2 linked regions of the Ovis aries genome follow. The protein of the gene in region 2 interacts with the protein of the main gene of each other region in a biochemical or structural test. Links are inferred from orthologs where the notes say so. Each region holds a gene or a part of one and is shown on either strand. Other genes may lie near its edges.

Evidence for each region.
Region 1: the proteins of LZTR1 (region 2) and KRAS form a complex in vitro, tested with the Homo sapiens proteins (2 studies listed by BioGRID, with this or other methods). The link is inferred for Ovis aries from reciprocal best matches to the Homo sapiens genes LZTR1 and KRAS.

What each region holds. Positions count from the first base shown.
Region 1 is NC_056056.1:190,404,615-190,409,195, reverse strand, and holds the end of KRAS (GTPase KRas), read right to left. Parts: intron 711-4,581; coding exon 591-710; 3' UTR 587-590; downstream 1-586. UniProt on the Homo sapiens protein: Ras proteins bind GDP/GTP and possess intrinsic GTPase activity. Plays an important role in the regulation of cell proliferation.
Region 2 is NC_056070.1:72,363,549-72,367,358, reverse strand, and holds part of LZTR1 (leucine-zipper-like transcriptional regulator 1), read right to left. Parts: intron 3,632-3,810; coding exon 3,575-3,631; intron 3,569-3,574; exon of another isoform or gene 2,904-3,568; coding exon of another isoform or gene 2,842-2,903; intron 2,026-2,841; coding exon 1,946-2,025; intron 1,635-1,945; coding exon 1,526-1,634; intron 845-1,525; coding exon 761-844; intron 190-760; coding exon 132-189; intron 1-131. UniProt on the Homo sapiens protein: Substrate-specific adapter of a BCR (BTB-CUL3-RBX1) E3 ubiquitin-protein ligase complex that mediates ubiquitination of Ras (K-Ras/KRAS, N-Ras/NRAS and H-Ras/HRAS).

The sequences.
Region 1 (4,581 bases), on a different chromosome or scaffold from region 2:
ATGAGAAGCCCATGCACTGCGACTGGACAGTAGCCCCTGCCCACCGCAAATAGAGAAAAGCCTGTGTGCAGCAATGAAGACCCAGCACAGCCAAAAATAAATAAATGTAAAAAGAAGTTAGAGGGTAACATCATAACAGAAATTTGTGGTTGCCTCCAACTGGATATGAAAAGCAGGGAGTCATCCCAAGACTCCCAGGTTTCTCACTTGGGTAAAGAAGTGATGCTGATGTCACTACATTAAGAGAGCAGAGACAGAATAAGTACCTGCCTGTGGAATGTCCAAAAGAAAACATACTCTGTAAGAGTGATCCTTTCCCACCTTCTGGGCCATTCAACTCTGCTATATGATACGGCATATTTTGTCTCTCAAGACCCTGACAGTCTATAGCCATCAAAATCTGCCTCAATTATAATTAATACCCATTAGATTAAAAAAAAATGTATTGACTGTGGAAGCAAACTACATGTTTATTTTTTTAATACTTCAAATTAGAATCCCACACCAAGGTAGATCTCATGTGGTTGCTACTTTGTTAGCTATGAAAAACATATGCTTTCTGCCAAAATTAATATGCTGAACTTACCAGATTACATAACAATGCATTTTTTAATTTTCACACAGCCAGGAGTCTTTTCTTCTTTGCTGATTTTTTTCAATCTGTATTGTCGGATCTCTCTCACCAATGTATAAAAAGCATCCTCCACTCTCTGCATTGTAAAACACAACTTCTTTAAAGTCTGTTTCATTGGTAATAGTAATTTATTGGGATAGCCATGTGCAAGAAATTTGAAAGTTTGAGCTTTACTTGAGCATTTTCTTTTTTCAAACAGACATCAGACTGTTTGAATAGAACTGGGGATTCAGTATTAAAATAGGGCATAAATTGTGATTTGTTCTTTGAAGTCAAGTTTTGTTTTGTAATGGGATAAGAATTTTTTTTTAATTTGGAAGTACATGTGTTATTAGTACCTGTATATCAATTAATGCAATCATTTTAGTTTGTTAGTCACAGAATTAATCAAAGTCTAAACTGAAGTTAGATTTAAATTATTTCTCTGACTTAGGGAAAACAAGTTATTTTTGTACCACTGATCCCCACCCCTGCTCTGAGTCAGGAGTGAGGAGAAAAATGGTACAAAAGGGATAGTCAGACCTTTGTTTAAACACACACACACAAACATGCACACAACACCTCAAAATATAGCTGGTTCAAGAGACTGGAATCACAAGTTCTATCTTCAATTGCAACTGTCCAGTCAATTTCTAGAGCCCACAAATGGAACCGAGACTGAGACTTTTGTGGATCAAGAACTGCACTATTTAAATAAAAATGCTAAATGAGGGCTATTTACCATAAAATGAAAATATTTTTAATCGTTTAAAAAATACAAAATAGTAGCAATATAATTTTGTATCTGTACTACAAGTCTTAAAAAATAATTTTTAAAACAATACCCAATGTCCTGGCTTTATATCTTCTAATTTACACACTCCGAAGGAGCCAAGGGGACTTCTTCTGCTTAAGGCTATGGTGAGAAAGCTACGACAACAAACACAATCATATATGCCCGTAGGGAGATGTTTTATGTCTTTTCTAGTCTAGAAAATTAGACAGTAGCCAAGAAGACAAAATGTTTAGATTAACTGTACTGTTAGTTTGTCCAGAAGAATGTAACCACCAAAGTAGAAGCTTACATCTAAAAAAAGAAATATTAATTTCTTAAAAGTATTAAGAATACTTAAAAGTATTTTCTTAAAATATTAAAAATATCTTAAAGTTTTCTTTAAAGTATATTCTCAAAAATATTAAGAATATTAAGAATAAAAAGAAATACTAACACAAACATTAACCTACATAGGGTTTCCCAGGCGGCACTAATGGTAATGGTAAAGAATCCATCTACCAATGCAGGAGACGTAAGAGACACGGGTTCAATCCCTGGGCTGGGAAGATCCCCTGGAGAAGGAATGGCAACCCACTCCAGTTTTCTGGCCTGGAGAATCCCGTGGACAGAGGACCCTGGCAGGCTACAGTCCATGGGGTCTCAAAGAGTCAGATATGACTGATGTGACTTAAGCACGCATTAATTTACATGTGGTACAAATTAACTTAAAAGACATATGTTCCATTCTTCTAAAAGAAAGATGTGCTTTTAAAATGTTGGTGGTTTATTTTACCGTATATATTTTTTTAAACTTAATCTGTTCTTTCAATTTTAAGATAGAATTACTCACTATGGGAAGTGGCATATTTAAGTCTCTGCAATTGGTAACACCAGTCTTTCTATAAACCAAATGTGACAAAATGGACCCAGCACCTAAAAAGCTAATTTGTACCAAAAATATGATTTGCAGTTTTAAATTCAGTCAAGCACAGAGAATCAGCAATTTAAGTATTAACTTAAGTAAACCAACAGCTAAAGTTTAACCTTAGCATACATACATCATCACACATCCACTGCTTACATCAGTTAAGGAAAAGAAAAGGGGCATCTCAATTTTTATAGCAGTATTAATGCTTACAAATCTTTAGAATGTATTAAGAACTGCTTCAGTGGAACTCAGTAATTTATCTTTGAAGTAAAACTTTAATTTAAAATTCATAAAATTAAGTTTTAGTTAAGTAGGGATTTAAATAATGTTAATTATATATTAAAATGTACCTCTGAAGTTATTTTATCAACTTGTGATATAAAAATCTGTATACTTTTAATGAAATCAATTTAATCAACTAGGTAACTAAGCCAACTACAAAACAAAAATTCCAACTATTTTCTGATATCATTAAATATGTTGGTACTTTAAACGAGACAGCCACATGTACCCATATATAAAATTTTTAATATTTTGTATTTATCACTACTGTCCAAGAGGAGAAGGTCTGTTTTTAAGAAATTACTATTCTCATTATTATATAAATAATTAAGGTATCAAAAGAGCTTTAGTAATGCATATAAAATATAAAACCTGTGCTGACACTTAAGATATCTTCACAAATGATTCTCTTTTCAATTTGAAAATTAATGCAAGAAATTTCAAATATATGTACATACAAATAAAACAAACCAAGTAAAGCTCATATTTTTAAGAATAAAAACTCTCATTCCTGTTTAAAAAAGAAGGTATAAGGTCAATGTAGAAGTACTGAAATATTCTATGATGGAGGGAAAAAACGGGGTTTTGTTGCTCTACTAATTTAGCAGAAGCAAATTTTGATTGTAATTTATTTCTAAAACTAGTTTGAATGTGTCTGCTTTTTAAGTATGCACATCCCATCACCAATATCAGAATATATGATTTTTGTTTCCAGCAATGCAGAGAGAGAGTTGGAAGCCAATAATTAAAAAGAACTATACTACCCGCCACCAAGAAGTCAGTATCAGGACCTCAGAGGCTAAGATAATTAACACCACCAAGAAATAGTTATTCCAGAATGACTTTTTCATTTCTCATCTTTACTAATAGAAAATTTAAATTAGATTTTAAAGAATCTGTTATTTACCATATTTTCTCAGACTTAATTACTTATTTCTTGATAATAAATGCTTTAAAGTCATACTGACATGAAGAGAACATTACTGATCCTTGTATGTACCTTAAACCACTGGCACAAAACACTGGTTTCATATTCCAGAATTTGTAGGTAATTTTAAAAGATTAAGCACAGCCAAAACAGATGTTTAATACCTACTATGGCTAGTTGCTAAGGTCTTAACCGGCATACAATGATTTATTCTTGAGACTATGGCTTGTTGCCCCAAAATACTCATCTTCAGATCTTACTGATTAAACAACTGAGACATAAGTGCGTACTGTAGGAGCAAAAGTGCATGTATCTATGTATGTAAATTTGAAATAAGTTTTTAAAGATATATTTGTACATTTTCTTAAATCAAGAGATTTGACATTACTTTCAGCTCAGTCATTATCTGAAAACATCCTGTGGAGACTATGGAAATACAGCACTTCCGTACCGGAGAAAGAACTGTTAACCACATCATTCTGTATCCTGATGCCTGTAAAGCTTTCACTAACCAATTCAATTTTAAACAAGTACTTGTTCCAGTTGAACAGTTTACTACCTGCCAAAACTCTTTCAATGAAATAACACTTCAAATACCTGAACCGTAGACAGATGCAAGAATACTAGCCTTCCTGTGCTATTGTTCAGTCATTAAGTTCTGTCCAATTCTTTGCAACCCCATGGACTGCAGCACACCAGGCTCCCCTGCCCTTCACTATCTCCTGGAGTTTGCTCAAGTTCATGTCCATTGAGTCAGTGATGCCATCCAACCATCTCATCCTCTGCCACCCCTCTTCTAGCCTTCTTGGGGGACAGCAATGGGAGGAACAAGATGTATTCTAAAAAGCAACTCTGCATCACTGAATTGGAAAGAAACCTTGCTGAACGATAACCTACCTCAGGAACTACTGAGCTGCTTCGGAGGCTATGCTATGCATTGGTGCACAGCAGGTCCTCGGTTAATTGTTTTGTCTAGTTTTAAAAAGCCTCTTGATGAAAGTGAAAGTGGAAAGTGAAAAAGTTGGCTTAAAGCTCAACATTCAGAAAACGAAAAT
Region 2 (3,810 bases):
CCAGGACCCCAACAGCAGTCGCCCCCATCGTGTCTGAGGAAGGATGCATCATCCCCAGCTATGGCAGTCACAGGCTCGGCCATGGTCTCCCGGCCCGGAGCAAGGCGGCCTCCCCAGCCCACGGCCCTCACCTCCTCCCAGCACGTGAGCTCCCGGTCCTGGAGGCCGATGGTCCACATGTCATTCAACCTGCATCGGGACAGAGGGGGTGGGGCCCCGCAGCTGGGCTGGAGGTCAGGGTGGGCCTGGGCCCGGCCGGGACAGACGGCCCCAGGAGGGAATCTGATTGGGGACTACAGAGCGGCCTTGGGGTAGGGGCTTCGGCTGGGGGCTGCCCGGAGGCCCCGGGGGCCACCACGAAGCCTGCGGCACTCGGGGCTTCTGGAACTGGCTGGGGTCCTGGGGACTGAGCGCTTGGTGCTTTTGTAATCAGAACACAGCAACGTCGACGTTCGCTGACGTTCCACAGCAGGAAGGCGCCTGCCTCCCCCGCTCTGAGCTCTGAGGACACCAGCTACGGTCCTGGGCGTCCTTGGCCAGCAGTCTAGACGTGTGGGGCCCACCATGCCTTCAGTCACCCCAGGAGCTTCAGGGGTGCCAGAGCGCCTGTCCCCGGTGGGGGTCCGGCGGGGGGGCCTCCACTCAGTGGCCTTCCCCCAGCCGCATCCACACACCCAGCCTCCTGGGAAACCCAGCTCGTGCCTCCTCCCCGGGGCAGGCGGGCCGCTCTGCGCCCGGCGTGTCTCTGGCCACGGCCTACCTGGCGTTGCCATCATAGCCGGCAAAGATCCACAGCTTGTCACTATACACCGTGGCACCGTGGGCCGAGCGGGCGACTGGCAGCCTGGGGCAAGTGGAGGGCAGGGCTGGGGGCACCCTGGGCAGAGCTGAGCCACACAGCCCCACATAGCCCGGGTCCCAGCCCTGTGAGCCCCACCGCCCTGGGGCGAACGTGCCCACACCCGCTGACCCGGGCTGCTGGGAATAAGGGACCTGGCAGAGTCTGAGCCCGCATGGGCACTGGACGAGGAGTCACACGTCCAAGGGCACAGAGCCCCCTCCAGGCCCCTGCCTGGTGTCGAGGGGGCGCCTGTGAAGCAGGGCCAGAGGAGGCCGTCCGCAGAACACTGGGTCTCCCTACCCTCCGGAGGGGTCCAGGGGAGCTGAGAGCCAGGGATGGGCAAACAGGGCCAGCTGGCGGGTGCTGCGGGCTCCCAGCTCGGCCGTTGCGGGCCCTCACTTTCAGGCTGCGGGCCCCTCTTAGCTTTTAGAGTCAGGGTTAGGGTTAGGGTTAGGAACACTGCTTCCGTCTTGGGCTTTCGTCCTTTGGCCGAGGCAAGTGGGATCGTAGCTCCCTGACCAGGGTTCGAACCCACACCCCTTGCCTTGGAAGGCAGTCTTAACCCCTGGGCCGTCCCGGAAGGCCCCTTCATCTGTAACCCCACAGAAGCCAGTCCAGGCCCGCCGCCCCCCGAGACCCAGCATGACAGCCCGTACAACCCCAAAGGTCTCAGCACAGTCTCACCGTCCTTCAATTTTCCACTCTGTCCACTGGCCAGTTGCAAACTTGTATTCAAAGAGGTCGTTTTTGTTCTTCAAGTTTGAGTTGGAATAGATGTCGCCAGTGTAGCCCCCTGTAAAGAGAGCAAGAAGCCCCCACAGCCCGGGGCGTCAGCTCAGTCTGCAAACCCAGGGGGCGGTGGGCACGGGCGGGGTCTGCCCTCGGTCAGCACGTCTCCCAGGACCCCTGCCGCCCATCAGCTCCTGCTCGAGGCTCTGGGGACAGCAGCCGGGCGCAGAGGCAGACGGTGCCCCCTGGAGATCAGGACGGTTGGGGGAGGGGACCCGAGAGGCCCCCGACCCAGCACAGGCGCTGGAGGAAGGGGCATAGAGAGGCTGGCCCAGCACAGCCCGGGGCCGAGGCTCGACGGGAGGCGGCGCTCACCGAAGACGAACATGCTGCTCCCGTAGACCACGGCGGAGTGGTGGTAGCGGGGGGCCGGGGGGGTCCCGGTGGTGAAGGCCCTGAGGGGGGAAGGGGCATCAGGTGCAAGCGGGGGGCAGCCCCATCACCCCCAAACTGCTCTCTGCTTTCTCATTATAGAAGCCTTAAAAAAACTGCCAACTAAGGGAAAAACAAAACCTCACATATAATCCCTTTGCCAGAAACCACTGTCCACAGCTTGAGGGTACACCTCCCCACCTTCCCCACAGTTACGCCTCTGAGTAATTTTCTGTGATTTCTCTATGACCAACTCAGTGAGCACGAATCTGAGCAAACTCCCAGAGACACTGGACTTCCTTGGCGGCTCAGGGTGAAGTATCGGCCTGCAATGCGGCCCCCAAGCCAGCTGCAGGAGACCCAGGTTCGATCCCGGGGTCGGGAAGGTGCCCTGGGAGAGGAAAGGGCAGCCCGCTCCGGTCTTCTTGCCTGGAGAGCCCCACGGACAGAGGGGCCTGGTTGCTACAGTCCACGGGGTCACAAAGAGTCGAACACGACTGAAGCGACGCAGCACAGACCCCCAGCAGGAGACCGTGGACAGGGAGGCCTGGCGCGCACCCCATGTGGCCGCCGAGAGTCAGACGGGGCTGAGTGGGATCTCCGCAGTGGGATCTCGCGCTGGCCTCCTGGCCCCTCTGGAGCCATCCCCCCCCGCAGCCCCAGGCTGGGCCGTGCTCTGCAGCGCAGGTGTCCATGCGACTTAGCTGCTCCTTTTCAGACTTTTAACTGAAGCAATTTTTAACCATGAATTCAAAGTCTCGAGAGTGATTTTCCAGTTCACCCGTAACTCCCGCACACAGGTTGCAACCAAGCGCGAGAGAACCACCAAACGAACTGACCTGACCCCAGCGCCTCCTGGGGGTCTGGGCAGGGTGCCGCTGCGAGTCTCAGGCCCAGACATCCTCCTCTGTCAAAGGCGGGGCGGTGAGACCCCCCAACCCCGCGGAAGGCAGGGCCCAGAGCTGCTACAGAGGCCGGCAGTGGGCACAGCTCAGGAGGAAGCCCAACACTTCCTAGCCCCGGCATCTTCTCCTCCCGTCGGCTGGGAGCTGCCCCCAGCGGGGCTGGACTGGAGCAGAAGGGCACAGACACCCAGAGCTCAGAGAGGGCGTGCGTCTTGCCCAAGGCCACACAGCAGGGAGGGCCTGGGACCTGCGGGCTGCCCGCTGCCTGTGCGGGGCCTCCCGGAACGGGATGGGCCTGGGGAAAGGCAGGGTGGGGGGCAGCTGCTGGGTGGCCCCTCTAGTGGCGGAGACAGTCCTGGAAGGACCCGTCAGCCCACGGCCCCCCAGTGGGCTCCCATAGCAGCCCCTGGCCTGGGAGATGGAGCTGGTGATGGAACAGCTCTCCTGAAGCAGAACCTAAGGACCCACAACTGGATCCCCTAAAATCACAAGATTCAGAAAATCCAATCTCAGCCTCAGACCAGAAAAGAAAGGAAGCAGAAAGAAAAGAGAAGGCCAGGGGTCACTGAGAGGGGCTGGATGCGGTCATCAGCTCCTTGAAGCACCTCTAGCCTGCACGCGCGGGACCCGGCCAGGGGGCGCTCGTGTCTGGGCCGGGGGCTCCCACCTGCACCAGGAGCAGTCCTTCACGTCGAAGCGCAGGAGGTCATTGAGCATCGTCTTCCTGAAAGACAGTGGGGACCGGCGGATGGACACGGGCAGCTGATTGAGAGGCTCAGCCAGGGCAGCTAGCTGATGCTCGAGGGTCCAGAGACGGGACCCCAAAGGGAGCTCCCCGTGGATGCGGGACCAACCCGCCCAGGGTCGGGACGCACGCCTGGTTCCAGGCACCCTGCGTCTCAC